Stegostoma tigrinum: one gene and its partners. The protein of the gene in region 2 interacts with the protein of the main gene of each other region in a pairwise test. Links are inferred from orthologs where the notes say so. Each region holds a gene or a part of one and is shown on either strand. Other genes may lie near its edges.

Region 1 (7,464 bases), on a different chromosome or scaffold from region 2:
TGCCTCCGGTCACAAAGTCTTGGATTCAAGGCCCTTCTAAAACCACATCACCCAGACAGATAATTCTCTACACTACTTAATAACTGTATTCAAAGTGATAAAAACTACAAGTATCAGTTGATTTAATTTCAATCATTTTCAGATGTGGCTAACAGGTTGTGCAATTTAAGACTAAATATATAAAGAAAGGTTCAGTGATCTCCCAGTGGGTAAATTGTTTTATATTCAAAGCAGCCACACAGAAGAAAAAGAGTTAGTGAGGCTGGCAATATTGAAGAGTTTGAGGAACAGGAAGTAGACTGATAGGGATTTAAAATGTCATCCAAAGAGTCAATGTGGTGCCTCAAGCCCCTACAGTCTGCCCACAACATAACAGGTCCTCAGAAGATGCCCTAGCCCTGCACTCTTCCTGGAGCATTTAGACATCAAAGACACCTATGTCAGACTCCTGCTCATGGACCACAGGTCTGCCTTCAACATCATTATCCCCTCCAGGCTGATCTCAAAATTCCATGACATTGATCTTGGCTCCTCTGCAACTGGGTCCTCAGCTTTCTGACCCATAGGCTGCAATCAGTGAGGATGGCTAACTCCTTCGCAATAACACTCAACACTGGAACCCTGCCCACCCCCACCAAGGATCCATCTTCAGCCCCCTACTGTACTCCCTGTACACCTACACTGTGTTGCCAAATTCGGAACGAACGCTATCTATAAGTTCGCTGACAACACCACCATAGTGGGACAGATATCTAACAACAATGGGTCAAAGTACGGAAGGGAAATGGAGGACTTGGTGAAGAGGTGCAATGAAAATAATCTGTCTCTCAATATCGACAAGACTAAAGAAGTGATTATGGACTTCAGAAAGAAAGGAGAACACGCCCCCACCTACATCAACAGAACTGAGGTTGAGAGAGGGAACAGCATCAAGTTTGTCGGAGAGATGATAACCAACAACCTGTCCTGGATTTCCCACACAGATGCAACAGTCAAGAAGGGTCAACCTGGTAATGATCTCCTACAACCTCTTCCATGAGGCAGAAGATACAGAAACCTCAACACACACACAAGCAGGTTCAGAAACAGCTTTTTTCTGTAGGAGGAGTAGGATATGAAATGTGGCTTTAGAAAAGAACTGTGAAAGTGATGAATGGACTCTACCCTCCAACAATGTAACCTGTATGTCTCCAAGTCTTTTTCATCTGTACCCCCTTTGCTTGCTGTGAGCTTCCTTTACCGCTCGTAAACAAAGCTTCTCACAATATTTCATGACACCTGACAATAAAACCAATCAATCAAAAAGCAAACGAGGGAGGGACTAGGGATGATGGGGGGTATCGATAAAGGCGGGAGAAATCAATGGAGGGAGGGGGAGGGGAGAATCAATGAGAGGCAAGAGGGATCAATGAGAGGCAAGGGGGTACAATGAGGGGGAATCGGGGGGGGGGATGAGGGGGAATCGGGGGGGGGGATGAGGGGGAGTCGGGGGGGGGGATGAGGGGGAATCGGGGGGGGGGGGATGAGGGGGAATCGGGGGGGGGGGGGATGAGGGGGAATCGGGGGGGGGGGGGATGAGGGGGAATCGGGGGGGGGGGGGGGATGAGGGGGAATCGGGGGGGGGGGGGGATGAGGGGGAATCGGGGGGGGGGGGATGAGGGGGAATCGGGGGGGGGGGGGATGAGGGGGAATCGGGGGGGGGGGGGATGAGGGGGAATCGGGGGGGGGGGGGATGAGGGGGAATCGGGGGGGGGGGGATGAGGGGGATGAGGGGGGGGGGGGATGAGGGGGAATCGGGGGGGGGGGGATGAGGGGGAATCGGGGGGGGGGGGATGAGGGGGAATCGGGGGGGGGGGATGAGGGGGAATCGGGGGGGGGGGGATGAGGGGGAATCGGGGGGGGGGGGGGATGAGGGGGAATCGGGGGGGGGGGGATGAGGGGGAATCGGGGGGGGGGGGATGAGGGGGAATCGGGGGGGGGGGGGATGAGGGGGAATCGGGGGGGGGGGGGATGAGGGGGAATCGGGGGGGGGGGGATGAGGGGGAATCGGGGGGGGGGGGGATGAGGGGGAATCGGGGGGGGGGATGAGGGGGAATCGGGGGGGGGGGATGAGGGGGAATCGGGGGGGGGGGATGAGGGGGAATCGGGGGGGGGGGATGAGGGGGAATCGGGGGGGGGGGATGAGGGGGAATCGGGGGGGGGGGGATGAGGGGGAATCGGGGGGGGGGGATGAGGGGGAATCGGGGGGGGGGGGATGAGGGGGAATCGGGGGGGGGGGATGAGGGGGAATCGGGGGGGGGGGGATGAGGGGGAATCGGGGGGGGGGGGATGAGGGGGAATCGGGGGGGGGGGGATGAGGGGGAATCGGGGGGGGGGGATGAGGGGGAATCGGGGGGGGGGGGATGAGGGGGAATCGGGGGGGGGGGGATGAGGGGGAATCGGGGGGGGGGATGAGGGGGAATCGGGGGGGGGATGAGGGGGAATCGGGGGGGGGGATGAGGGGGAATCGGGGGGGGGGATGAGGGGGAATCGGGGGGGGGGGATGAGGGGGAATCGGGGGGGGGGTGAGGGGGAATCGGGGGGGGGGTGAGGGGGAATCGGGGGGGGGAATCGAGACCGGGGGGGGCGTAATTTGAAGATAAATATTAAGGTGACGATGGCGGGAGGTGGGGGGGGGGGGGCTCCAGTCTGACGCGGGGCCGCGCTGAGGCCTAAATCCTCGGCGTCAATTTCAGCAGCTCCCCCCTCCCTCCCTCCGGGCCGCGCGCTACCCCTCACCGGTTCCTGCTGCCGCCCCCTCTGTCTCTGTCTCTGTCTCTGTCCCCCCGAGGGGGAGGGGGGTAAGGTGTGGGGGTTGGGGGGGGGGGGGGGTGCGGGTTGTTGTTGTCCTTTCGCCCCGCGAGGCCCTGAGCGCGGCGGCTGCTCACCGGAAGCTTGGGCCCAGGGTCCATCCACATCGCGGCTCCGGGGGGAAACACGGAGCGGCCCCGCCGCAGAAACGGTCCCTCCCCCGCCGCACACAACAATAAACCGAAAGCTGCAGCTGTCCGCCCGCAAACCCACTGTGTTCACCCTCGGGTTACAGTTTTTTAAAATTTTATCCCTTTAAAATATATTTACACATCCACCACACCCCCACCTCAATTACACGCACACACGCTGGAGACAGTCCATCTATCCACTTGGTCAGTCAGTGCACCTGGCAATTCGACTGCAGCAAGCATCACGGTCAAGTCTGCCTTCAGCCTCGCATCTGTCCTTGAGCATTAGATCCACCGTTTGAATGGAGTACCATTTCAAGTGGTCATTCACGTACTTCTTTTTTAAAAAACTTAACCAGAATTGCTCTTACATACAGCTGAATGTTTTGTTTTCCCCGTCACCAACTCGCCCATGGCCCAAGTGATTTTTAAAGGCTGTGAGAATTACCTGCTTCTTCATCATTTACCTACTGCCAAACTCCTGCTTTCTCCTCACACCCTTGACAGGTAACATGCAAGAATGGAAACTGTGCCAACTTTGTGTTCTTCACTTGAAAGTCTTGCAACTTGATAAGGAATGTTTTTGTGAGCCGCAGCAGAAGGTCCTGAAACAGTTTACAGCCAGTTATGCATTTTTTATGAAGGAAAGGGCAGTCATTGTTGTATTGGACACTAGCAAGGTCCCATAGATAGACAGGAAAGTCTGATTTAGTTGCACAGCTTTAGGGATCAATGTTGGTTTGAACGACAGGAAAATCTCTCCTGCTGTTCTTTTAAATGATGCCATGGGATCTTGTACAATCACCTGAGAGGGGTAAAAAAACAGGCCGCGAGCACCTCACGAACTGCGACAGTGCAGCTTTCCCTCAGTACTGCACCAGAGGCCAGTTGATTGTGGTTAAGCCCCAACTTTGACACAGAAACAGAAGCGCTGTCACTGAGCCACAATGGGTCAACTGTTCTTTGGGAGTTGATCAATGAGTGACTCCGGACACACCGACTGTCTCACTCACTTTTCAAGTGCAGCATGGCAGCTCAGCGGTTAGCACTGCTGCCTCACAGCGCCAGGGACCTGGGTTTCAATTGTACCCTCAGGCAACTGCCTGTGTGAAGGCTTGCACATTCTCCCTGTGTCTGTATGGGTTTCCTCACACAACCTGAAGATAGGCAGGCTAGGCCAGTTAGCCATGGAAAATGCAGGGTTATAAGGTGGTTTGGGTGGGATGCCCTTTAGAGGGGCAGTCTGAACTTGATGGACCAAATGGCCTGCTTCCGCACTGTAGGGTTTCTATGATTTCTGTGAAGTATCATGCCTAAGGAGGGTATTGATAATCATGGACCTCCATCAGATTAGTCCATGTTGCAGACTGATAATCACCCTGTGGACTGTATTACGGTACCCTTCCATGGCCATCGGGACCTGAACTCAGAGCTTTACCTGCTGTACTACAAAACCTCCCCCTCGGGACTCTAAAATTTTAAAAATAAATTAGTATCAATGTTTGGGGAAGTGTTTGAAGTGAGATATTTCGAGGTGAAAAGGGCAGTGAAAGTCCATTGAAACAAATGAGCCGTATTATTTTGCGAGGTATTATCAAAGCAGATCAAATAGAAAATGAAACATGGTCAAATTGGGAAAATTATAATTTACAACAAAACAGCATTTATGATTTATTTATACTCATTCACAGGATGTGGGCATCACTGGCTAGGCAGCATTTATTGCCCATCCCTAATTGCCCAGAGGGCAGTTAAAAGCCAACCACATTGCTGTGGGTCTGGAGTCACATATAGGCCAGAGCAGTTTCCATTAGTGAACCAGATGGACTTTTCTGACGATCAGCGATGGATTCATGGTCGTCGTTAGACATTTAATTCCAGATTTTTATTGAATTCAAATTCCACTGTGTGCCTTGACAAATTTTGAAGCCAGGCCCCCAGAACAATTACCTGGGTCTCCAAATGAATGGTCTCACGATAACACCACTGGGCCGCTGCATCCCCAAAGCAAAAATGAGAAAAAGCGAGCAAAATCCTGGCCCGGACTTGTAAAGTAGGTGGAACTTTAAGTGTGAGTTTTAGGTTGTGTTGGGACTGTTGTGTTGTCTGAACAGGGGTGGCGGCACCATGGGGAGCTTGGCCGCTGCTGCGAGATGTTTCAGGAAAATGAGAAGAGCCCCCTCCACCCGGCTTTTCCAGGGGGCAGGCACCACGGGAAATGTATCGGTTATTTATACACCAGGCCGCTGGGCCAGTGAAAGAGCTCAATGTGATAAACTGACTGTCAGAACTCAGAAGGATGGGATCAGGTTGGTGGGGGCATGGACTGACCCAGACGCTACCCACTAGAAATTACACAGGTTCAGGGCACTGTTCTTCTTCGGGTAAATTGGGATGGGGTTGGCAATACTAGCCTTCTGCAGAGCTGGGAAAGCAGTGGCCCGGTGGTATCATCGCTGGACTGTCAATCCAGAGACCTCTGCGAATGCCCTGGGGACTCAGGTTCGAATCCCGCCCGGGGAGGATGGTGGAACAGTACAAAAAGAAAACATCTGACCCTGAACTCGTCGCTGCTGATCCCATCTGGTTCACCAATATCCTTCGGGGACGGAAACTGCCATCCTGTGGCTCCTGGCACACTGTTATGTGGTTGGCCCTCAGCTACCCCGTGGGCAGTTAGGGAGGGGCAATAAATGCTGCCCTCACCGGAAATGCCCCCGTTCAGGGAATAACAAACACAGGGGGCCAATCCAGTTACGAAAGACTTGAGCAGTAGTTTGTGGGAGGTGTTCAAATGCAAAGTCAAAGAGGCTGCTTTCCTAAATGGACAACAAAACAGAGATATTTAAGATTTGCCAAGGGCGTAACAAACAGGAATAGGCCGTTCGGCCCCTCAAGCCTGCTCCATTCAATAAGATCATGGCCGATCCAACACTCCTCACATTCACTCTCCTGCATTTTCCCCATAAACTTTGACTCCTCAACTGGCCAAGAACTTATTCGGCCTTGAATATACACAAGGACTCCATCCTCGCAGCTTCATGTTGGCAAGAAGTCCCAAAGACTCACAACCCTTTGAGAGAAGAAATTCCTCTTCATCTCAGTCTCAAATTGCCAACCGTTCATTCTGAGGGGATACTGTGTGAACCCAGACTCTCCCATGATGGAAAACATCCTCTAAGCATTTACCCTGTTGAGCCCCTGAAGAAACCTGTATGTTTCAATGGGGTGTCACCTTTCTCCTCTCTCAATTTCAGTGAGTACAGGCCCAACCTACTGAACGTCGCCTCATAAAGCAGTCCCTCCCTTCCTGGTATCTCTGGGCTGCCTCCATTGTCAGTGTGTCTCTAGAAAATAGTTTGTCTCCTGTCTAGGTCCATCGTTCTGAATAACCCACAGAAGAGGAATGCTCTGTCGCTGGCCATGTTGGAATCTCTGCGCACCAACCTCCTCCACGAAGCAGAAAGCAATGACCTGCGCGTTATTGTCATATCAGGTAATTCCAGCATGGGTTTTAACATTTAACACACCTACTTAGATCATGGGGTAAAGTAAAACGAAGCTAGGGAAATGAGACTGATGGCACGGTGGCTCAGTGCTTAGCACTGCTGCCTCACAGCGCCAGGGACCCGGGTTCGATTCCAGCCTCGGGCGACTGTCTGTGCGGAGTTTGCACATTCTCCCCGTGTCTGCGTGGGTTTCCTCCGGGTGCTCCGGTTTCCTCCCACAGTCCAAAGATGTGCGGGCTAGGTGGATCGGCCATGGGAAATTGGTCATAGCATACAGTAGACATAGATTCTACATGGGAAATGCAGGGTAGATCTGGGTGAGATACTGTTTGGAGGGTTGGTGTGGACTTGATGGGCTGAGTGGCCTGCTTGCACGCAGTAGGGATACTATGAATGCTCTCTTTGTACCTTTAAAAAGTACTTGGATGAGCACTGGAAATGTCGTCACATTCAGGGCTGTGGGGCTAGTGTTGTACTGGTGATATTTTTGACAGTACAGATTCTATGGGCCGAAGGCCTCTGCGATTCTACGATTCTACTGGCTTAGATGATCCCATGTAGTGCACTAATTGAGGCGTTATAAATCACTCTGGGAGATATAGTGGCAAATTAGTGAGTGCTCACTCCAGCTCCTGGTTTCTGTCTTCTGCATTGATTCAGGGTTTAGGTAAGCTCGGGAGCAGGCTGTGGGCTGGAACATGCAAAGGAGACAACTGTCAAACCTCACACAGGAAACCTGGGACAACCACCAGCGGGAGGGGGGAGTATAGCTGCAGCAAAACCATATCCCAGGAAAAAGTTAGCTTCTCCAGAGAGAAGAAACAGGGTAAAAATCACGCGGGGAACTGAATTATGAGTAACATACAACTTAGGAGCATATGTAGGCCATTCAGACCCTAAATCCGACACTACTGTTCAATAAGACCGTGGCTGATCTGTTCCACATTCCCAACTATCCCCAATAACCCCCGATT
Region 2 (7,322 bases):
TTGAATAATTACAATTGAGAATTTCAATTCCAGGGCATTTGATACAAAGTACCAAGACTTTACCACCTTGATACTCACTTCCACACTACTTCTGGCAAGCTGATAACTTTTGATAAATTGAACTTCTGAATCGTAAAAGGAGGGAGCAGCACTTTGACCAATTATGTGATTAACTGACAAATCCAAAACATGACCAACTTCCAAAATAACCCATTAAGATCTGCAACACGGAAAGAAATAAGTGTCCTGACATGTCTGCGCCAGCTATCATGAAAACAGATTATTTCAATATCATTTTTGTCATCCAATCCATCAAGAGTTCATAACGTTCCAGTCAATACAGCTACTATTGTAGTGACCTGATTTAAAGCCAGAAGATAAAAGAAATGAATTAAAGAACAGATGTGCCAGAAGTTCAAGGAATCAGAGAATTTTTTGGCAAAAGTTGCTGAATTTCCTATTAGCAACTTAAATAGATACCAAAAGTACTGTTCCGATCACACGTACAAAAGCAAGAGGGAACCAGCCCTAACTGAGATACTCCTGCTGACAAAAATGCAGTAGCTCACAGAAAAAAACCCTTTCAATATGAAATCAACACTTGCACAGCACCCATCATATCCTCAAAGCCTTCAATCAACAGATAATGAGACGTCAGTCATCATCATATCTCCATTTGTGGGAGCTTGCTGTATGTAAAACTGCGTGCCATATTTCAAAAATGTTTCAGCGGCTGTAAAGCCATTTGGGGCACTGAGATAATGAAATATGCTATACAAATGCAAACCTTAGGGAATCTGAAGGTGGTTTTCCTTATTATTATTTTATACGCGAAATTTACAGCCAACAATCTGACACAATAAAGAAGATAAGAAGCAATGCATTTCCTTTTAGAGAACGTCAGTTGTTTATTTAATATTGCATACAACTAATCCATACCTCGGTCGGTTGCACATGCCAGATGTGCAAACAACTCATGCAATGTCCAAAATCAATCCATGTAGTTAACTGTTTGTGTTGTATGAAATATACGTGACCATGTAATGTTGGCATAGATTGGTAACAGCTAGTTAAGAACACAGTTACTCCTTGGCTTTAATTAAAACCAACAGCTTATTTGTCAAGAGCATTAGGAATATTCCCACTACCTGTCTGCATAGCAGGACTAACTTGAATGGTTATACAGTTAAAACAGGGAGGACACCTCCATCAAGAGAGCTGGACGAGTCAGTCAATTTAATCATCAACAGCAGCCAGAAAGTAAGGCACATTTGCTGGCTGAGAGTTAATGCCAAAGAAAATGAACTTCAAAGATTCCCCTTATCATGGGGGGTAATCTTTGAGCCAATTTGATCCACAGAGGCCTACTCCTCCCAGGAGGACAATCACTGGGATATCTGTAAACAATTGAGCAGAGGTTTTTCATCAAGTTTGGAGCATCATTCTTGCATCTGTACTAAAAGTGGTGACTTATGCAAAAGGAAATTTGGGGAAGTGTATGGAGTGGTCAGGAGAGTGGGGCATATGATAGACTCCGCTCAGACAGACATTACACACATATTAGGGTTAAGCAAGTAGGATTTCTCCCCAACCAGTCTGGCATAGTACCTTGGGGTGATAAGGCAGGCTGGGATGTCAGTCAGGCTAGCAGTGTGCAGGAAAGAGAGTTGGTAACGGGCTACAATTCCACCTCTCTTTACCCCTTTCACACGCAGACTTGTACCTTGTGGGCCTGACGGTGCAAGGATAGGGTAGGGATCATCCCCAGTAGCTGACATTGTGTCCAGGGTGGGGGACAGGGTAGAGATTATCTCCGACAGGTTAGGATTGTGCCCAGGGTCAAAGACAGAATAGAGATCACCCTCACAGACTGACACTGTGGTCAGAGCAGGATTCTTTCTCGACTCCCTACCACAAAACCTCCCAGGCGGGCACTGCACGCTAGGGTGGAGGTAGGTTAAGGGGGGGGGGGGGGGGGGGGGAGGGAAGGAGAGAAGAGAGGAGAAGTAGAATTCTCCCACATCCCTGTGCTGATGCCAAGCCCCAGAGGCATGGGAACAAGGTAGTGGTGGACACAGTAGGATTCTTTATTCTCGTCCACCTTTAACACTGTGCCTAGAGAATTTGGGAGAGGGTGGTGGTGGAGAACAAGTTAAGCCACAGCGAGTAAATTCTCCCCCCAAACTGGCACTGCAGCTCAGGGATGGGTGGACAGAGTACTAGGAGAAGGGAGAAGAACAGGGTATGTGGGAGAGGGATGGGGGTGAGCCAGGGCTAGGAATAGTAGGGGTGCGAGAAGGGGGAAATAAGAGAAGTGGCGAGCCGGAGGGTGGTGGGGGGGGGGGGGTGGGGGAGAGAAAGAATAGGAGAAGTGGCGAGCCGGGGGGGGGGGGGGAAGGGGGGAAGAATAGGAGAAGTGTGGAGCCGGAGGGGGGGAATAAATAGGAGAAGTGGGGAGCCGGACGGGGGGGGGGGGGGGGGTGCGAGAAGGATGTGGATGGGGAGCCGGAGGGGAGAAGGATGTGGATGGGGAGCCGGAGGGGAGAAGGATGTGGAGCGAACCGGGAGTGCAGGGTTGCGGTGGGAGAAGGGGTCGCGGGGAACGGGGTTGTTCTCCCCGCCCCACCCCACCCCCGCCTGACACCGCGATACCACCTCCCGGGGGGACCGGAGAAAGCGGCGGCCGCAGCCCCTGGCCCCAGAGTCACTTGCTAACCCTCCCTTCGGGGCGCATAGGCCGTGGGGGCCCCGAACTCGCACCGAACCGTCTCCCCCAGCGGACAGGCGGTAGATCAGCCGGTCACCCCGAGAGGGGAAAAGGAAAACAGTTCCGACAGTCGATCACGGAGCTTTGGCTTCTTCCCCCTTAGCCTCCGCAGTCTGCCGCTCACCCTGTCCCTCACCTTCTTCTTGGCAGACGCCAGCTTAGCCCGTCTGCTCCCGTCGGCCATGGTATCCGGGCCCGCACACGTCACCAAGCAGCTAGCGGACTCCTCCAGTATCCCGGCCTGCACCAGGCCCCGACAGCCGAGGGGCGGGGCTTCGGCGACACGTACCGACGATCTTTGTGACGCGACAACGCAACGAGTGGGCTGGTTTTGTGACATCATCGCAACGGCGACAAAGTGCCATGGCAACCTAGAAACAATGTCGAGCTCTGTGTCATCAATCACACTCAAATAAACAAACTCGGGGGCATCAATCAATCAGTCAGTAATAAAGTAATTAATAAACTCCGGGGATCAATTGCAGTCAGTAATAAAGTAATTAACAAACTCCGGGGATCAATTGCAGTCAGTAATAAAGTAATTAACAAACTAAGACTCTGGGGCATCCATCTCATTTACTAATAAACTCATGACTCAAGTAGAATTGCTGGAGAAACTCAGCAGGTCTGGCAGTATCTGTGGAGAGAGAGCAGAATGAATGTTTCCAGTCCAGTGACAAGCAGAGTTTCTCCAGTCATTTCTGTTTTTCTTTCTGATTTCCAGCAACCGATGTAGCCAAATGGTCACTCGACCTGAAATGTTCATTCTGCTCTCTCTCCACAGATGCTGCTTGAGCTGCTGAGCTTTCCCAGCAATTTCTGTTTTTGTCTCTGATTTACAACATCTGAAGTTCCTTAGGTTTTTATTCTGAAGAAGGGTCACTAGACCCGAAATGTTAATTCAATGTTATCTCCACAGAAGCTGCCAGACCTGCTGAGTTTCTCCAGCATTTCTACTTCTATGATGTGTTTACTGGTAAATGAGATGGATGCGCCAGAGTCTGAGTTTATTACTGACTGCAATTGATCCCCGGAGTATATTAATTACTTTATTACTGACAGATTGATTGATGCAAACGAGTTTGTTTATTTCTGAGTGTGATTGATGACACATAGCTCGACATTGTTTGCAGGTAGCCATGGCGCTTTGTCGCAGTTGTGAATCTTCTGATGTTTCACATTTTTAATCAAAATTGCCAGTTTACCAGCTCCAGCCACCTCTTCTTCAACATGGCCTGGTAATCCTTTACACATTTCTGAAAAAGGGTCAAAAATAGAAATTGCTGGGAAAGCTCAGCCAATCAGGCAGCATTGTGGAGAAAGATCAGAATGAACATTTCAGGTCAAGTGATCGTTTGGCTTTGTTGGTTGCTGGAAATCAGAAAGAAAAACAGAAAAAAAACTGGAGAAACTCTGCCTGTCACTGGAGAAGGGTCACTGGACCTGAAACATTAATTCTGCTCTCTCTCCACAAATGCTGCCAGAGCTGCTGAGCTTTCCCAGCAATTTCTATTTTTGACCCTTTTTCAGAAATGTGTAAAGGATTACTAGGCCATGTTGAAGAGGAGGTGGCTGGAGCTGGTAATCTGGAAATTCTGATTAAAAATGTAAAACATCAGAAGATTCACAGGTATAAATAAGAAGGGAGTTGACAAGGGGAGGAAAAAAAATTGTTTTCAGACAGGAAGAAATGAGTCCCATGGAACTGGAGCAGGCAAAAATAATGTGTTTGCCTGTGCAGTCTTGTGTGTGAATTTTGGGATGGAGGTAGAAGTAGGCTGTGTGAAGTTGGAGATTAATGAGTTTGGAGGCAGTGGAATGGAATTGTCGGATCAAATTAGAATAGTCATAGAGATATACCACACGGAAACAGACCCTTCAGTCCAAAGCGCCCATGCTGACCAGATATACTAAATTAATCTCGTCCCATTTGCCAACATTTGTCCCAGGCCGCTCAAAACCCTTCTTATTCCTATACCCATCCGGATGTCTTTTAAATGTTGTTATTGTATGAGTATACACCACTTCCTCTGGCAGCTCATCCCACACACACACACCACTCTCTATGTGGAAAAGTTGGCCTTTCGTCCCTTTCAAATCTTTTCACTCTCAGCTTAAACCTACGCCCCTGTAGTTTTGGACTCCCCCATTCTGGGGAAAAGACCTTAGCTATTCACCCTATCCATGCCCCTTGTGATTTTATAAACCTCTATAAGGTCACCCCTCAGCCTCCGACCCTCCAGGGAAAATAGCTCCAGCCTATTCAGCCTCTCCCTACAGCTCAAACTCTCCCACCCTGGCAACATCCTCGTCAATGTTTACTGAACCCTTTCCAGTTTCACAACACCCTTGCTGTAGGAGGGAGACCAGAATTGCAGGCAATATTCCAGAAGTGGCTGAATCAATGTCCTGTACAGCCACAACACGACCTCCCAACTCCTATACTCAATGCATGGGCCAAAATAGGCAAGCATACCAAATGCCTTCTTCACTATCTTGTCTATCTGCCACTCTGTTTTCAAGGAACTACGAACCTGCACTCCAAGGTCTCTTTGTTCAGCAGCACTCCCCAGGATATTACCATTCAGTGTATAAGTCCAGCCCTGATTTGCTTTTCCAAAATACAACACCTCACATTGATCTAAATTGAACTTCATCTACCACTCTTTGACCCATTGGCCCATCAGGTCAAGATCCTTCTGTACTCAATGATAACCTTCTTGATGATGGTGGACATAACGGCCTGATGTTCCACGGTAGGGTCATGGTCCAGGGGAGACAGGACGAGATGTTTGAGAGCTGGCACTCAACCTCTGCAATGTAGAGATCAGTATGCCAGTCAACAGAAACATCCGCCTTGTCAGCAGGCTTGATTCCCAAGTCAGGTTTGGATCTGGGAACACAGCGTATGGTCAGTTTAGAGGGTATCACATTGATAGTTCTTGAGAAACAGGTCAAGTTCCGGTAAAAGGACAGAGGGGTGGGAAAAGTTCTGAAGAAGGGTCACTGGACCTGATACATTAACTCTGCTTTCTCTCTACAGATGCTGCCATGTTGAGTTTCTCCAGCAACATCTGTTTTTCTTTCTGACTTCCAGCATCCAACAAAATCAAAGACCACTCCGACCCTGGTTATGCTCTCTTCTACCCTCTTCTATCAGGCAAAAGATATATACATTTGGATATACATATGAACAGATTGAAGAACAGCTTCTTCCCCACTGGTTTTAGACATTTGGTAGATCTCTAATGTTAATGTTGATTTCTCTCTGCATTTCTCAGCTACAGTAACTCCATTTACCTGCCTTGGTCTGTCCCGTAATACCCCTTCGAACAAAAACCCTTTACTCCTGGTTCAAATGTATTATTTGGGCTACTTGGTACAAACTGTTATTGTCAGAGTGTGTTCTACACACGTACAACCCTTTGCATGAAGGCCTGTTTTCAAACTTCACTCCTGAATGGCCTGGCTCTGACCTTCACATTCTGTCCCTCTATCCTGGACCTGTTATTTTCTCTACCACCCTATCCCAAATTATCGAGCTCAAACGGAAACAGCTTCATGGTAAGACCAGTGTAAGGATAGAATGAGGATAACTCGTAAATTCATAAACTCATAAATGTTCACGTTTCCATGAATAATTTCAAACTAACAAAATTCTAGATTTGATGTAATGGTTAAAGGCATAGGATTGCTCCCAACTAATTCAAAACCCATTGCATCACTGAGCAGCAAGATTCATAAGGATGTGTTTACCTGTAGGTCTGGCAATGTCAAGGTAACATTACAAAGCCTAAATGATTTAATCACAAGCGTAGGTCACTAGTACCTCAAACTTTCATATCACTCTTATTTTTAGCTGAGATATCAATTAAGTAATATTAGCAAACTAGAGGTCTACAGCACAGAAAAAGGCCCTTTAGCCCATCAAGTCTGTGCCAGTCAAAAACAACCTCCTAACTATTCGAGAGATAGTAAGAACTGTTGATGCTGGAGTCAGAGATAACACGGTGTGGAGCTGCGTGAATACAGCAGGCCGGGCAGCATCGGAGGAACAGGAAAGTTGACATTTTGGGTCAGGACCTTAACTATTCTAATCCCATTTTCAAACATTTTTCCCATAGTTTTGCAAGCCTTGGCATCGCAGATGCACATGTAAATATTTCCTCAGTGTTATGAGTGTTTCTGCTTCAACTACCCTTTCAATTCATGTTAACATTTTCCAATGCTCGCATATGTAATGGTAACAGGCTACTTCTATGTAAATTTCACAATCCCAGGAGGATATGTTGTGACCAGGTGAGGAGGGGGAACCAACAAATATTTTTTAACACCCTTTGGGCTGGTGCAGCAACTGTTTTTAGTATGTAGTTAACATACTTGAATTGAAATGTGATTAACCACATTAAAATTAAGGTGCTAAATTACATGTTTTCTTGAGCAAACGAAAAAGATATTACTGCCTACCCTGAAGAAAATTAATTTAATTGCCACATTAATCACTCATAGATGAACAGGTATTAAATTTGTTTCAAAAAGTGCGGAGAGTGATCTA
Region 3 (7,550 bases), on a different chromosome or scaffold from region 2:
AACAGGAACATAAAGTCTCTGAACTCTCATTATCACACTTTTGAAAGCCTCCCACTTGCCAGTCGTCCCTTTACCTGTGAACATACTACGCCAAACAACTTTTGAAAGTTCTTGACTTATATGTCAAAATGTGTTTTACTTCAATTAAGAACTTTAACTTTTATAAAAGGTCTACCCTTTTCCACAGCTACTTTAAAACTAATAGAATTATGATCACTGGTCCCAAAGTGCTCCCCCACTAACATTTAATTCACTTGCCTGCCTTATTTCCCCAAACAAGGTCACGTTTTGTTCCTTCTCTATTTAGCACATCCACATGTTAATAAAGAACATTTTCTTAAATGCATTTAACAAATTCTTCACCAACTAGGCCTTAACACTATGGCAGTCCCAATCTATGTTTGGAGAGTTAAAATCTCCTATGATTATAACCCTATTATTCTTACATATATCTGAGATATCTCTACATATTTGCTTCTCATCTCCCAACTGACAACTGGAGGGAGTACAGTACAATCCTGTCAAGGTGATCATCCCCTTCTTATTTATGAGTTCCACGCACAGAGCTTCACTGGACGATCACTCTAAGCTAAGTGCAGCAGTGATGTTTTTCCTAATCAAAAATGCCATTACCCCTCCTCTCTTGCCTTCCTTTCTATCCTTCCTATAGCATCTCAGCCCTGGTACAGACTTGCCAGTCCTGTCCCTCCCTCAGCCATGTTTCTATAACAGCTATGATGTCCCACTCCCATGTTTCCATACATGTCCTGAGTTCAACTGCCTTACCTGTTGACCCTTGCATTGAAATAAATGCAGCTTAACTCTTCAGATTTACCTATCTCTCTGGCTTGTTTTTGCCTTCCTTTTCTAATTAACTTGCTCTCTTCAGCTTCAGAACCTTCCACATCTATGTCTCTATTGTCACATTCTACTTAGGATCTCCACCCAGCCACTAGTTTAAAAGGTTCCCAAATAGAACTAACAAACCTCCCCACCAGGATATTAGTCTCCCTTCAGTTCAGGTGAAAACTACCCCTTCTGAACAGGTCTCTTCTGCCCCAGAAGAGGTCTCAATGAACCAAAAATCTGAATCCCTGTCCCTTGCACTAGCTCCTCAGCCATTGATTTAGCTGCCCTATCTTCAAATTCCTACTCTCCCTAGCATGTGGCACCCAAAGTAATTCAGAGATTACTGCCTTTGAGGTTATGATTTTTAACCTCCTACCTAACTTCCTGTGTTCACTCTGCAAAGTCTCAACCTTTTCCTTAACTAAGTTGTTCTTACCAATGTGTACAACAGCTTCTGGCTTTTCACACTCCCCTTTTACAGTATGCTGCAAGCCCTTTGAGACGTCCATGACCCTGGCACCAGGGAAGCAACATACCATTCTGTTTTCTATGGGCACAGAATCTCCTGTCAGTGCCCCTATAGCAATTACCCTTTTGAATCTTGAGAAACCCTGCTTAACAGAAGGGTCATTCTTGGTTTCCATGATCTGGATGCCTCTTCTATTTTCTTCTGAGAGAGTATCTCCCTAATAGTAGCCAAAAACAGTATATCTGTTTGAACGAGGAATAATCACAGGAGACTCCAGCACTACCTTCCTATCTCTCCTGACAGTCACCCATCTATCTGACTGGACCTGTGGTGTGACCACCTCTCTAAATCTACTAACCACCACATACTGTGTCTTCTGTATGCTCCCCAGTGACTCCAACTGCCTCTCAAGCTGACTCAAACAGTCTGATATGAGATGGTTCTAAACACACATGGAGGCACAGTGGCACAGTGGTTAACACTGCTGCCTCATAGTGGCTATGACCAGGATTCAATTCCACCCTTGGGTGACTGTGTGAAGTTTGTACATTCTCCCTGTGTCTGCATGGGTATCCTCCAGGTGCTCTGGTTTCCTCCTGCACTCCAAAGATGTGCAGGTTCAGTGGACTGGCTATGTTAAATTGCCCATAATGTCCAGGGGTGTGTAAATGAGGTGGGTTAGCCATGGGAAATGCAAGGTTACAGACACAGGGTAAGGGCGTGGTCTGGGTGAGATGTTATGCAGAGGGATGGTGTAATCTCGATGGGCCAAATGGCCAGCTTCCACACTGTAGAGATTCTATGACACGTCCTAACACATAATTAAGTGTGAATTATAACAATCTATTCGGCAGAAACAGGATTCAGACCAGTTTCAAAACATTAAATCGCTGTGTTCTACCTTTAAAATGTGAACATTTGGATAAATTACAAAATTACAATGCTCTTCCATTCAACTGTATTCTTAGAATTGATTTTTTCCTGCGCGTTGAAAAAAATGTGGCGACACTAACAACTAACAAAGTCGACGGGGAAAAAGTCTGGACAGTATCAGTGCAGGTAACTGACCCGTTCAGTTAACGTTTCACCTTCCGACCAATTTCTCACTTAGAATTCCCACTGTAGCTTCCGGTGCACACCTCTCACAGCAAAAGGGTTATCGTTACGTAAGCAAAGCTCCAGCCTCCAATTCACTCTGTCAAAAAATACCACACATATAAATAAAAGGGACTGGCTCCGATTGTTAGTTACACTTCACCGAGACCCTTGTAAGTAACAGTATAATGCATATTCAAACCAAAGCCCCTAGCAGCCACAGTATTGTTCGAGCACCGTCGCTGAAGACGGGAAACCGTTTCATCTACACACACTGCACGCACATTAAGTGCGTTGCAGCTCAAGGGCCGGAAAGCAAAAAGTGACACAGTAGAGCAGGCAAGGCAGACCGTGAGAGGGGGTACATCAGCAAAGGCCTCATGACATTACTTAGCTCACTGCTGATCAACCTCGTCCGAGGGTTCGTAAACAGTGCAGATTTCAAACTAATTCAACAGTGGCAGGATGCGGTAGTCTTCGATCCGAGTTTTAGAAAGTAAAACATAGTGCACAGTGATTTTTTTAAAAAAACCTCGTTAAAAGGGAGTGCAGCGCCTTGTCCAAACTGCCCACTCTGCGAGAGCGAAAGCAAAGCAACGACTTGGTGTGCCGACAGAAGGCGGCGCTAGGCCCTGCCTCTGGTTACCCTGGAAACACCCAACGACTCCAACCGAAAGACCGCCACCCGAGACAGCTGACCCCCGGGGTCTATCACTCACACAGACGTAGCAAGAACTGCGGATGCTAGAGTCAGAGACAGCACAGCAGGCCAGGCAGCAGAGGAGTAGGAAAGATTCCTGACGAAGAGTCCCGACCCGAAACGTCAACCTTCCTGCTCCTCTGATGCTGCCTGAACTGCTGTGTTGCCCCAGGTCTATTCCTGCTGCACAGCTCTCTGCTCAACCTCACCTCGGGTTACCGTGCAATCTCTTAACGTTCAACCCTCAGAAAATATGTGAGGAGAATGACAGAGGTTTTGTCATCATTTGTGGAAATGCTGAAGGTCTTAGAAAATATAAAGATGGATAAATCTCCAGCACCTGATCAAGTGTATCTAAGGACTTTGTGGCAGGTTGGGGAGGAAATTGCGATTGCAGAAATGTTTCTATTATCTATCACCTATAGGTGAGGTGCTGGATGACTGGAGAGTGGCTAATGTTGTGCCCTTGTTTAAGAAGGGTTGCAAGGAAAAGCCTTGGAACAAAAGACCTCTGAGTCTGATTTTGGTGGTGGCTAAGTTGTTGGAAGTGATTCTGAAAGCTAGGATTTCTATGCACGTGGAGAGGCAAGGAGTAATTAGGGACAGCCAGCATGATTTTGTGCAAGGGAACTGGTATCTTACAAACTTAATCAAGTTTTTTGAGGAAGTAACCAAGATTGATGAGGGCAAAAGTGGTAGACATTGTTTAGTTAAACTTTTGGAAAGCCTTTGGTAAGGTTCCACATGTTAACCTAATTAGTAAATTTATATCATGTGGCATTCAGGGTGAACTTGCCAATTGTATACATATTTAGCTTAATGACAGGAGACAGAGAATGATGATGGAGGGTTTTTTTTGGATTGGCAGCCTGTGATCAGCAGTGCTCCACAGGGATCGCTGCTGGGCCCACTTTATTTGCCATCTATATAAATGATTTAGATGAGAATATAGAAAACATGGTTAGTAAGTTTGCAGATGACACCAAGACTAGAGATATAATGAACAGTGAAAAAGGTTATCTCTGAGTACAAAGAGACCTTGATCAAACGGGTCAAAGGCTGAAGTGTGACAAATGGAGTTTAGTTTGGATAAATGCAATGCATTGCAATTTAGTAAAACAAACAAAAACAGGACTTATACAATTAAAAATAGCACCTTGGGTAGTGTTGCAGAACAGAGAGACCTAGGGTTTCAGGTGCATAGTTCTTTGAAATTTGCATCACATAAAGATAGGGTGGTTAAGAAGGCATTTAACATGCTTGCCTTCATTGCTCAGGCCTTTGAGTATAGGAATTGGGATGTTATGTTGACGTTGTACAGGACATTGTTGAGGCCTCTTCTGGACTACTTTTTCCAGTCTGGCCACCCTGTTATAGGAAAGAAATTTTTAAGTTGGTGAGGGTTCAAAGGAGATTTGCCAGAATTTTGCTGGGAATGAAGGATTTGAGTTATGGGGAAATTGCGATTGCAGAAATGTTTCTATTATCTATCACTATAGGTGAGGTGCTGGATGACTGGAGAGTGGCTAATGTTGTGTCTTTGTTTAAGAAGGGTTGCAAAGAAAAGCCTTGGAACTAAAGACCTCTGAGTCTGACTTTGGTGGTAGCTAAGTTGTTGGAAGTGATAGGCTATGAGTTTTTTTTTCATTGGAGTGTAAGAGATTGAGGGGTGACCTTATGGAAGTTTATAAAATCATGAAGGGTGTAGATAAGGTGAATGGCAGGTGTCTTTTTCCCCTAGGGTGGGGGATTTCAAGGCTAGGCAACGTATTTTTAAGGTGAGAGGAGAAATATTTAAAAAAGACATGAGGGTGATTTTTTTTACATAGAGAGTGGTTTGTGTGTGGAATGAACTCCCAGATGAAGTGGTGAATGTAGGCGCAGCTACAACGTTTAAAAAACATTTGCATAACTACATGAACAAGAAATTTTTGGTAAGATATGGGCCAAGCGCAGGCAGGTGGGACGACTTTATTTTGGAATTATGGATCAGCATGGATTGGTAGGAACAAAGGGTGTGTTTCTGTGTGGTATGACTGTATGACTCTATCATCCACAGTGATGTCATATGACTTGTGGGTAGAACATCTTATAATTTCAAAGGATTGAGACCTAATCAGCTGGATCTTCCTCAAAGTCTTTAACAATGTAATATCGATGTAATCTATGACTAGTTATACACTAAACTATATTGTATAAGGTATAAGATTCTTCTAGTTACGCCAGGAAATTGTTCTCCCCTAACACACTAGCCAGACCAAGTAGGCCTTATAGTTTCCTGTACTTAGAGTATATTGACAACAACCTACATCATGAGTAGAAACACAGGCAGCAGAGTGAGTTGTATGCCCATGTAATTCCTACTCTCTTTGATGTTACACTATTATTCATTTCATCATTTAATCAAATCCAACCTCCACCCTATCACAGACCCCTTTTGTTCTTCTCACTTCTGCATCTCCAGTTTCTCTTAACGCCATTACATCTGTATCAGTGACCAATTCCGATGAAAGGTCATTAAACTGAAAACGTTAACTTTTTTTCTTCATCGTTGCTGCTAGATCCCTGTAACCCCACAATTACCATTGCTAATCCACCTAGACTGCATATCCCTGGACACATAGAGGCAATTTATCCTGGCCAATCCATTTAACCTGCACATCTTCGGATTGTGGGAATACCCAGTGAAAACTCACAAGAATCAAGAAGAACATGAAAACTCCACACAGTCACCCAAGACTGGAATCAAACTAAAGTCCCTAGGGCTGTGAGGGAGAAGTGCTAATCATTGTGCAACTGTGTGCTCCATATTGAAGAATATATGTTGGCCACTACTCCGAGGATAACCCACCTGTTCTGCTTCCTCAAAATAATACTATGGGATAGAATCCCTACAGAATGGAAACAAGCTCTTCAGCCCAACAAGTCCGTATTGACCCTCAGAGGATCCCACCCAGGCACATTCCCCTATAACACACCCAATCTACACATCCCTGAACACCATGGACAATTTAGCACCTCACCTGCACATCTTAGGACTGTGGGGGAAAACCGGAGCACATAGAGGAACCCCAGGGAGAACATGTAAACTCCACACAGGCAATCACCCAAGGGTGCAATCGAACCCAGGTCCCTGGTGCTGTAAGGCAGCAGTGCTAACGATTGTGCCACCCAACTCTTGGTTTAATGTTTCATCCTATAGTGAACTGCTAGCTTTGATGCTTGAGCTCAAGTCTTTGGAGTTGGAATTGATCCCAGAACCTTATGATTTAGAGGTAAGAATACTACCTACTGAGCCATGATGGAAAATGTCTTTGTAAAAAGATGAAGTACAATGCTTTACGTTTAGCTTTATTGGTCAGAGTGAGATTGGGAATAAAATGGAAAATTAAAATGACAAATGACTGAAACTTGGGTTCATGCAAACTGAACTAGGTTGGTCCACAAAGTGATCAGTATGTGTTTGGTCTTCCCAATAAAGCAGAGACTGCAACATGGGTAGTAAATAGAACATATTAAATTGGAAGAAATTCGAAATTGTATTGCTGGTGAGGATTTTACATGAAGAGGAAGGCAAAACCAGAAATGGATGAGAGAGGCCCTCCAGTTCTGACTCTCATTCCAGTAGAAATCTTGCACTGGCTAATGTGGCTTACAGTTCACCAAACATTAGCCTTAGCAATCCTTACAGATACCAGCCTCTGAAAATAGGCCTGCAAATATCCAGCTTTTCATGATCCCCTCTAACATTCAGCTATTAATGATACTTCCAGTGTCCCGTTACCAGTTACCCCTCCAGTGTCCAGCTACCAGTGATCTCTGCAGCTTCCAGTTACAAATGGTCGCCCCCAGCTTCCTCAGCAGAAAGTCTTAAGAGAAGAATATTCATCAGCATGGCAGAAGCAAGATTCTAGATGTCCATTGGTTCAGTGATGATTCCATGCCTGTTCTTTTTTGGGCTGCTTGGGCAATACAGGAACAGAAGTTGGAGATGTCCCCACCTAGCTAAACATTTTGGGTGGAGGCAGTAGAGAAGGTAAGCAACCATGGAAATGTCTGGAGAATGTTCATGCAGAACCATAAGTCTGTTAACAATATACTATGCTCAGCAAGGGTGAGTACCCAACATCACAATTCTCTTTGGAGGCAGAAATTAGACATGTGTGAGGGTGTGCTTACTAGAGAGGGAGAGCCTAGCATGTTGATGACAATGGGAAGAGGTGACAGATTTTCCATGGAAATAAATAGCTGAAGTTCGGACATAGGGTGTGAGCCTGACAGTGTCAGATCCTACAAGATGGCCCCAGAGTCACCAAGTTCCTCATGCATGCAATTGGACAGATTTAGTAGCAAGCATTTAAGGCATTTTGGTATGGCATTTGCTCTTGTGTAGCCACTAACATTTTTCTTCTATGTTCCAGCAGGAGAAGAGAGCCC
Region 4 (7,416 bases), on a different chromosome or scaffold from region 2:
TGTGTCTTTCCATTACTCCTGCATTCCCCCCTCCTCCTTCAATACTTTTTGTGTTTTGCTCTCCCTTGGTTCTGCTCTTTCAGGTCTCCTGCCAATGAGTCACAGATTCTGCAATGAAAAGCATTTACATTGATATGCATAAACAACACCCATTTTCTTCAAACCACTATTGAAATACTCCTAAAAAATCAACTTGTGTCCATCATATCCTGAGGTGAGTCTTGAGCCAAACGTTCTAGCTCAGAGCTACCAGAGCAGCACAAGACCATCACCTGTAAGATTCTTTACATGCACTTATACTAGGGAATTGCAATATTATAATTTAGATGCAGGACAAGAGGCAGCAGTCCATAATTGTTAAGTTGTTTGACAAAGGGTCACTCAAGCTAAAATACTGAAATAACATAGGTTCTTCCGCAGCCTGTTTTTAAGATTATAACTAGAGAATATTGTGAATTTACATATCTTGTTCTGGTCATCTGTTAACTATAAGAAATTCTTCACAATACCTAATATAATTCTGCACAGAAAGGAATATTTACACATGTTGGACAAATTATGGAAGCTTGAAAATATGCATTAATTTTTCATTCAAAAGGGATAAAAAAAACGTACAAGAGAGTTCAAGTTTGCTTAAAAAACTCTAAGAAATGATAGACCCTGGCAAGGGGCAAATATGCAGCAGGATTGGTAAACAATCATAATGTTGTTTGCAATATACGAAATATCACTGCACCTTTCTCAACTTATCACACACATCTTTCATAAACTCTGGCATTAACACAGGTAGCGATTATGCCAATCCGCAATGGAGGGAAATAAAAATTGCTCAGAAACTCAAAGACCTCTTAACCAATATTCTTAATTTATAGCCCACAAACTGTCCATATTACTATTATCAGCAGTATTTCACCCAAGAGTTTTACAGCTCAAGCCATTCTCTATACACACACACAACTTAAACTTTGGAAGGACAAATGCTATAATTGTAACGCTGAACATTTTTGGCTAAAGTGTACATAATATGAAAATTTCACTCATTCATCATTACATTTCATTGATACCCTAGTGACAAACTGAAATTCAATCTATCCCGCAATATAGTGTTCATTGATCCAATGTATAATAGATGTATAGTATTGGGTATAACAGATGTAATTAAAGACGTAATTTTCAAACATATGCCCCCAGCATGTTGCCCAAATGCAAGGCACAAGCCAATTCTACGACCTGTACAGTCATGGTCCACGTCAGAAGCTTCACTTTGTAAAGCTATCCTTAAAATTTCATCAAATTTAGAAGAACATTTATGGAAGATAGTTTAAGCACGTCATATTTTCAGTGCTTTAAAAATGAACTTTTTTTCCCTTTTCCTACTTCTACACAGGCTTTAGAAGGTTTTTGTTGGTGTTTTTATCTTTAAAGAGCTGTCAAGAGTGTCATTTCATTTACTGTAGCATGTCTGTCACCAAGAACTCCTTTTCAAATTGCTATCATTAAACATGAATATTTATAGATTCAAAGACATGTTCTGATGCCTCACGTACTAAATGAACAGCCTGCCGATGTTGACTACAGGCCACTTAGCTGAGGTGTAGGGCATCAGAGTATGGACAACTGAGCAAGATTTTGGAAGATCATCACTACTCATGGAATCATATTCCAACTCTGCTTTCATAAAGATAAAATTAACAGGGAGAAACAAATACAGTAATTATTTCATTATCAACATCTTTCATTGATTATCAGAATAAATTAAAACTGGAAGAGATAAAGGTTGTTAATCATAAAATATTTTTAATATCGGACATTGAAATGAATATATAATGTGAAATACCTTCTCAAAATGCGTTTTCAATTGCATTATAAGAATTGCAACAGAATAAAAGTTTGTATAATCAAAAGCAGAAGACACTTTTATTCTAATGGTCACAATTTAATTGGACTAAGGACTGTATTTCCCATTTAGCCTTTTTTCCATGAAATCCATATTTAAATAGCAGCATATCAACTGAAATACAGCTGATGGATTTTGAACAGGCCGAGTCAGATCTGCACATGTCTTGTAAATTCCAATTTTAACCTGGATTTGGCTTGTGCACGTGTAATTTGGTTTAATTTAATTCTAATGCCGGGGGGGGGGGGGCGGGGGATGGTGGAGTATTTACCAATAATTCGGTGGATACAACAATCATGTTACAAAGTCCAGCACGGGGCTGCAGTGTTCGGAAGCTGAAGTGCAAATAAAACTTTAGCAGCTTTTGGGTTCACGAAGTTTTCATACTGGCATTCAGCTAAAAGGAAAAGAAAAAGAGGCTCTGCTAATTCCTGCCTCTGACAATCAGTTCAAGTTTCTGCCATGTTTATTTATGTAAGTTCTCATTGCTGCGGCCACAACAAAAAGCGAGCTTCTGTATCTCTCCCAATGTGTTGCGCAGTTAATCCTCCGCACTGCTAGCATCCGAGCGAATGTCAACGGGAGCCATAGGATGAGAGAGCGTGTAGCTCCACCATTTGGCCTGTTCGAACTGCTCAAGCTGCGAAGGAAGTGGTTATCGGAGCACAAGAAAAATCAGAAACAAATACCAATCACCCAGCTCTGAAAATCATCAACTAGAACACTGTTTTTCAGATAACCGGGAAGAGAAGAAAGAAAATGAAGCTGGCTGGGCATTTGCTCACACTCTTTTTAAAAAGTCGACGCGTTTGTTTATCTTCTTAACTCCCCGAGCTCCGCAGTTAACAATCGTCCACAGCACACACCAGTTTGTTTCGAGTGTTTTTCTCGGGGCCCCTTACCTGGCGCCTGGACTGCAAACAAGCTCAAAAGCAGCAGAATAATGACAAGTAGTTGAGGACGGTCGACTCCACTTCGACTCATTGACTTCTTCCTCTCAGCTTCTCTGTTGGTTAGATAATACATCAAGAAGCACTGTGGGAAATTCCTCTACCCTACAACTCCAAATATGACCATTGGACAGAGGCCACCGTCAATGGCCCTCTTATTTGCCAATGTTTTTGCTGATGTGTTAGACAAAAAAAAATGTGGATATGTTTGGCTAAAGAGAGGCTCTAGCATAAGAATTAGGTAGTTTCTTTTAACGCAGCGCAGAAGGTTAGTGAATTAAAAAGGAAATGTTCAGTACCTTACCTAATATTTTTGTTTCTTTTTAAATGATTAAAATTTGGTTTTATTTCAAAATTCCTGCAGTGGTACGTGTCTTCTTATCAACTGCAACACGTTAAACCTCTCAAATAAAGGGGGAAAAATTGAACTTCTTTTTGACAAATATTCAATTCCTGAAATAGCCTGGTGTCACAGTTCAAGTTTGAAGATGTGGTAGTGGATGTTGAGGCAATGTATTTTTGCGGGGATGTATTACAATTTTAAATATACTTTAAAATTTTGTAAAGCAATTTCTTGCTATAGCACCTTTAACAATGCTTCGCAAGATCGCAACAGACAATTGGCCAAGGAAGGAGGTACAGGAACAAAAAATTGATCAGAGAGGTTTTAAGTGGCAGCAAAAATATGGAGAGAGATGCAGAGCAGTGCAGAGGCCTAGGCAGGAAACATCAGAGTTTGGGGCAGTCACAGCTGATGACTTGGGAGAAAGAAGTTGGAAGTGCACAAGAGGCAAGATTTGGAGAGTCACAGAATTTGATAAGTTGTGTTCAACAAATTTTTGATTGATAAGGGGTTGCAGAGCTGAGTAAGGCTACAGAGTATGGAAAGGTGATACTGTGGTGGGATTCGAACACAAAGATGAGATTTTAAAAAATTGAGGCCAATGCATGTCAGCAAGAACATGAATAATGGTTGTATGGGACTTTGCAGAAGATGGGCTACAGGCAATAAAATTTTTAGGTGAGCCCATTACATTTGACCAATTAATTATTGAAGTTCTTTGAAAATATAATAATCAGGTTGAATATAGAGGAACCAATATACATAGTATATTTAGATTTCAAAAGGCATTCGATAGAGTCCCACTTGAAAGGCTGTTACACAAGATACCAGCATGCATTGTCAGGGACAATATTTTAGCATTGATAGAGGACTTCTGAACCAACAGAAAGTATAGAATTGGAATGAATAGATTACCATTCAGATTTGCAAACTAAAAACTAATAAGCAAGGATCAGAGCTGGGCCTTCAATTATTCCCGATCCACATTAAAGTGACTTGGATGAAGGCTCTGCAACTCTTGTCTGTTAAATTTCGCTTATGAAACTCTGTGATTCTCTGAATCTTGCTTCTTGTGCACTTTGAATTTCTTTCTCTGAAGTCATCAGCACTTAATGTCCCACATTTTGATGTTCCCTGCTTAGACCTCTGTACTGCTCGGCATCTCACTCCATATTTTTCGTTATGAGTTTAGTTTGTGACAATATGAAGATGGTTAGAAAGAAAGTTGTGAGAAGGATGTAAACATGCTGCAGAGCAATTTAGATAAATATGTGGGCAAAAATTTGGCACATGGTGTATTTGGCAGTTGGAAAATGTAAGGTTTGCCATTAGGAAGTAAGAACAGAAATGCAAAGAATTATTCAAATAAAGAGTGCCTCCAGAATGCTGTGGTACAGAGGAACTGTTCTATCTTTATAGAGTAAATACAAAAGGTCTGTATGCAGGTACTGCAAGTAACTAGTATGACAAAGAGAATGTTGCCCTTTATTGCACTAGAAATTATGTATATCAGTAAGGAAGTCTTGCTACCAATATACAGTGCATTGGTAAGACCACACCTAAAGTACGGTATACAGTTTGGGCATTTTGTGTAAGAAGGGATATACTTGCATTGGAAGCAGTCCTGTTTGAGGAATTTACTAATCAGATGCGTACGAGGAAACTTTGAGCAGGTCCTCACAGTACCATGGATCTGGATTCATTTCCACCTTCAGGCCACCATTTGTGTGGAGTTTGCACATTCGTCCTATGTCTGTGTGAATTTCCTCTGGGTGCTCCGGTTCCCTCCCACAGTCCAAAGATATGCAGATTAGATTGATTTGCCATATTAAATTGCCCATAGTGTCCAGAGATGTTCAGGCCCATACTACTATTATCCATGTGCTTGGTGGCAGGCATTGGCCTCAAATTTTCAAATCTCATCTTTGTGTTTGAATCTCACCACAGTCTCATCTTTCCATACTCTGTAGTCTTGTTCAGATCTGCAACCTCTTATCAATCAATAATTTGATTAGCCATGGGAAGTTCAGGGTTACAAGGATAGGGTAGGGGTGCGTCTGGATGGGAAGCTCTTCAGAGGTTTGACATGGCATTGATGGGCCAAATGGCCTGCTTCCAAGCTGTAGGGATTCTATGTCTATATCTATAAAACCACAGGATGTAAGAACAGAAATAGGCTACTCAGCCTATCGAGAGTGCTCCACCATTCAGTGTGGTAATGGTTGATCTGATAATACTCAATTCCACTTTCCTGTGTTACCCACATAACTGCATGAAAAAATTGCCTCTTAGGTCCCTTTTATATTTTTTCCCACTCACATTAAACCTTACCTTTTAGTTTTGGACGCCCCTATCCTTGGGATAAAACCTTGGCTATTCACCTTATCTATGTCCTGCATGATTTTATTAATCTCTATATTAAACCTCTTATAACTCAAGCCTTCCAATGTCAGTAACATCTTTGTAAGTCTTTTTTGCATGATTTTCCAGTTTAACAATATGTTTCCTGTAACGGGATGACCAGAATTGTATGCAGCTCTCCAAATGTGGCCTTACCAATGTCTTTACAGCTGTAATATGATGCCCCAATTTCCATGCTCAATGCTCTGACCAATGAAAGCAAGCGTGCCAATTGCCTTCTTCACCTCCAGTCTACCTGTGATGCCACTTTCAAGGAACTATGTGCCTATACTGCTAGGTCTCTCTGTTTGACCACACTCCCCACAAAAGACCATTTCGCTTGAGATGAAGCTGTACCATGGATCTTACTTTTGCAGGGTGGTTTATTGGTAGCTGGCTGAGCGATCTCAAGCTTTCTTGACTGCTACTGAATAAAGCTCACCCAACTCTCTCCAGGGCCACCACTACCTGCCTGCCAAAGGACTGAAATCTTTCTTCCAGCTGTCAATAAAAGAATTCTTCCCAGTCTCACATTTGTTTTCCCTCTTCTACACTAAAAATTTACAAGTACAACAATGATAGAATTTTAACGGCACTTTATTGTTAAATATAAGCATCTCATGATTATCTATTGTTGATCACCAGCACACTTCCCTCTTATTAAATTCTTTGACACTGATATTTGTAGCACACATCTGCATATTCTGATGCCTTTAAATTAATATGCATAGAAAGCTGATGTAGTATACCTTCAGTAGTGGCCCGGCATGTCATGTTGTGAACAAAATGCCTCACAATCTCATCAAATAAAGATTCTAAATAGTCCCTCTACAGACTGTGAACTCTTGTAGGTACAATGCAATCAGGCTACCTTTAGGATTTTGGGCAGTCTTGGCATAGGCATTGACTTCTTTTGCAGCTTTGCAACAACATGTGGCATGCAACCTAAAAGCTCAGTTGTTCTATTAGTTGCCACATCCAACTTTGACACATTTGTCCATGGAGCAGAATATGGGACGATCTTCCATCACATTACAGCCTGCCACAACGTTCTTGTTATCACATTTTGGCATCGTTTACCTTGCCATGAGATGCTTCTAGAGACACTATAAAAAAGTGAGGGAACATAAAGAGCAAGAACAGTTACATTCAAATAAATACTTTATCTCACAATACATTTAGACCATTTAGAAGAAATGTTTCCAATAGCATTACAAATAAAGGTGTTAGACGTAGAATGACCAAATTTGACCTTCTCTTACTTGCTTCCATGGCAGGACCACACAATTATCAATCTAAAGTTTCAGCAAAGATTTGTAACTTGGGTTGTGGGTGAGGTTTTTGACTTGTTTGCCAAGCTAGCTTGTTTTCGTTCATAGATAACAAGGTGTACAGCTGGATGAACACAGAAGGCCAAGCAGCATCAGAGGAGTAAGAGAATTGATGTTTTGGGCCTAGACCCTTCATTCAGATGTTTTGTCACCATGATAAGTAATATCACCAGTGCGGCCTCCAATGAAGCAATGTTGTTCGACACTGATTGGAATTTATACTGTCTGGTCTGCTATGGTGAGTAGTGTCATTTCTGGTTTTTTTCTGTATGGGTTCATATATGAAGCCCAGTTCTGTACGTTTGTTGGTTGTATTATGGGTTTAGAACCATGCTTCTAGGAGTTCCCGTGCATGTCTATCTCTGGCTTGGGCTACTATGGTTACGTTGTCTCAGTTAAGCTGATGGCCTTCGTTGTCTGAGTACTCTGATGCTAAGGAAAGTTCATTGTGTCGTTTTGTTTCTAGCTGATGTTCATGTATTCTGAGGGTCAGTT

The links.
Region 1: the proteins of golga2 (region 2) and rbm17 interact in binary tests that used the Homo sapiens proteins (3 or more experiments, as listed by UniProt). The two-hybrid records come from large-scale screens. The link is inferred for Stegostoma tigrinum from reciprocal best matches to the Homo sapiens genes GOLGA2 and RBM17.
Region 3: the proteins of golga2 (region 2) and coiled-coil domain-containing protein 150-like interact in binary tests that used the Homo sapiens proteins (3 or more experiments, as listed by UniProt). The two-hybrid records come from large-scale screens. The link is inferred for Stegostoma tigrinum from reciprocal best matches to the Homo sapiens genes GOLGA2 and CCDC150.
Region 4: the proteins of golga2 (region 2) and msrb3 interact in binary tests that used the Homo sapiens proteins (3 or more experiments, as listed by UniProt). The two-hybrid records come from large-scale screens. The link is inferred for Stegostoma tigrinum from reciprocal best matches to the Homo sapiens genes GOLGA2 and MSRB3.

The regions. Positions count from the first base shown.
Region 1 is NC_081378.1:5,885,755-5,893,218, reverse strand, and holds the start of rbm17 (splicing factor 45), read right to left. Parts: upstream 3,022-7,464; 5' UTR 2,928-3,021; intron 2,908-2,927; exon of another isoform or gene 2,779-2,907; intron 1-2,778. Other genes in the region: echdc3 (enoyl-CoA hydratase domain-containing protein 3, mitochondrial), read left to right, coding at 5,109-5,290, 6,356-6,477. UniProt on the Homo sapiens protein: Splice factor that binds to the single-stranded 3'AG at the exon/intron border and promotes its utilization in the second catalytic step. Involved in the regulation of alternative splicing and the utilization of cryptic splice sites.
Region 2 is NC_081382.1:36,886,019-36,893,340, reverse strand, and holds the start of golga2 (golgin subfamily A member 2), read right to left. Parts: upstream 3,019-7,322; 5' UTR 2,952-3,018; coding exon 2,904-2,951; intron 1-2,903. UniProt on the Homo sapiens protein: Peripheral membrane component of the cis-Golgi stack that acts as a membrane skeleton that maintains the structure of the Golgi apparatus, and as a vesicle thether that facilitates vesicle fusion to the Golgi membrane.
Region 3 is NC_081367.1:33,931,531-33,939,080, reverse strand, and holds the start of coiled-coil domain-containing protein 150-like, read right to left. Parts: upstream 3,016-7,550; 5' UTR 2,804-3,015; intron 2,514-2,803; 5' UTR 2,387-2,513; intron 1-2,386.
Region 4 is NC_081371.1:39,159,286-39,166,701, forward strand, and holds the start of msrb3 (methionine-R-sulfoxide reductase B3), read right to left. Parts: upstream 3,019-7,416; 5' UTR 2,924-3,018; coding exon 2,800-2,923; intron 1-2,799. UniProt on the Homo sapiens protein: Catalyzes the reduction of free and protein-bound methionine sulfoxide to methionine. Isoform 2 is essential for hearing.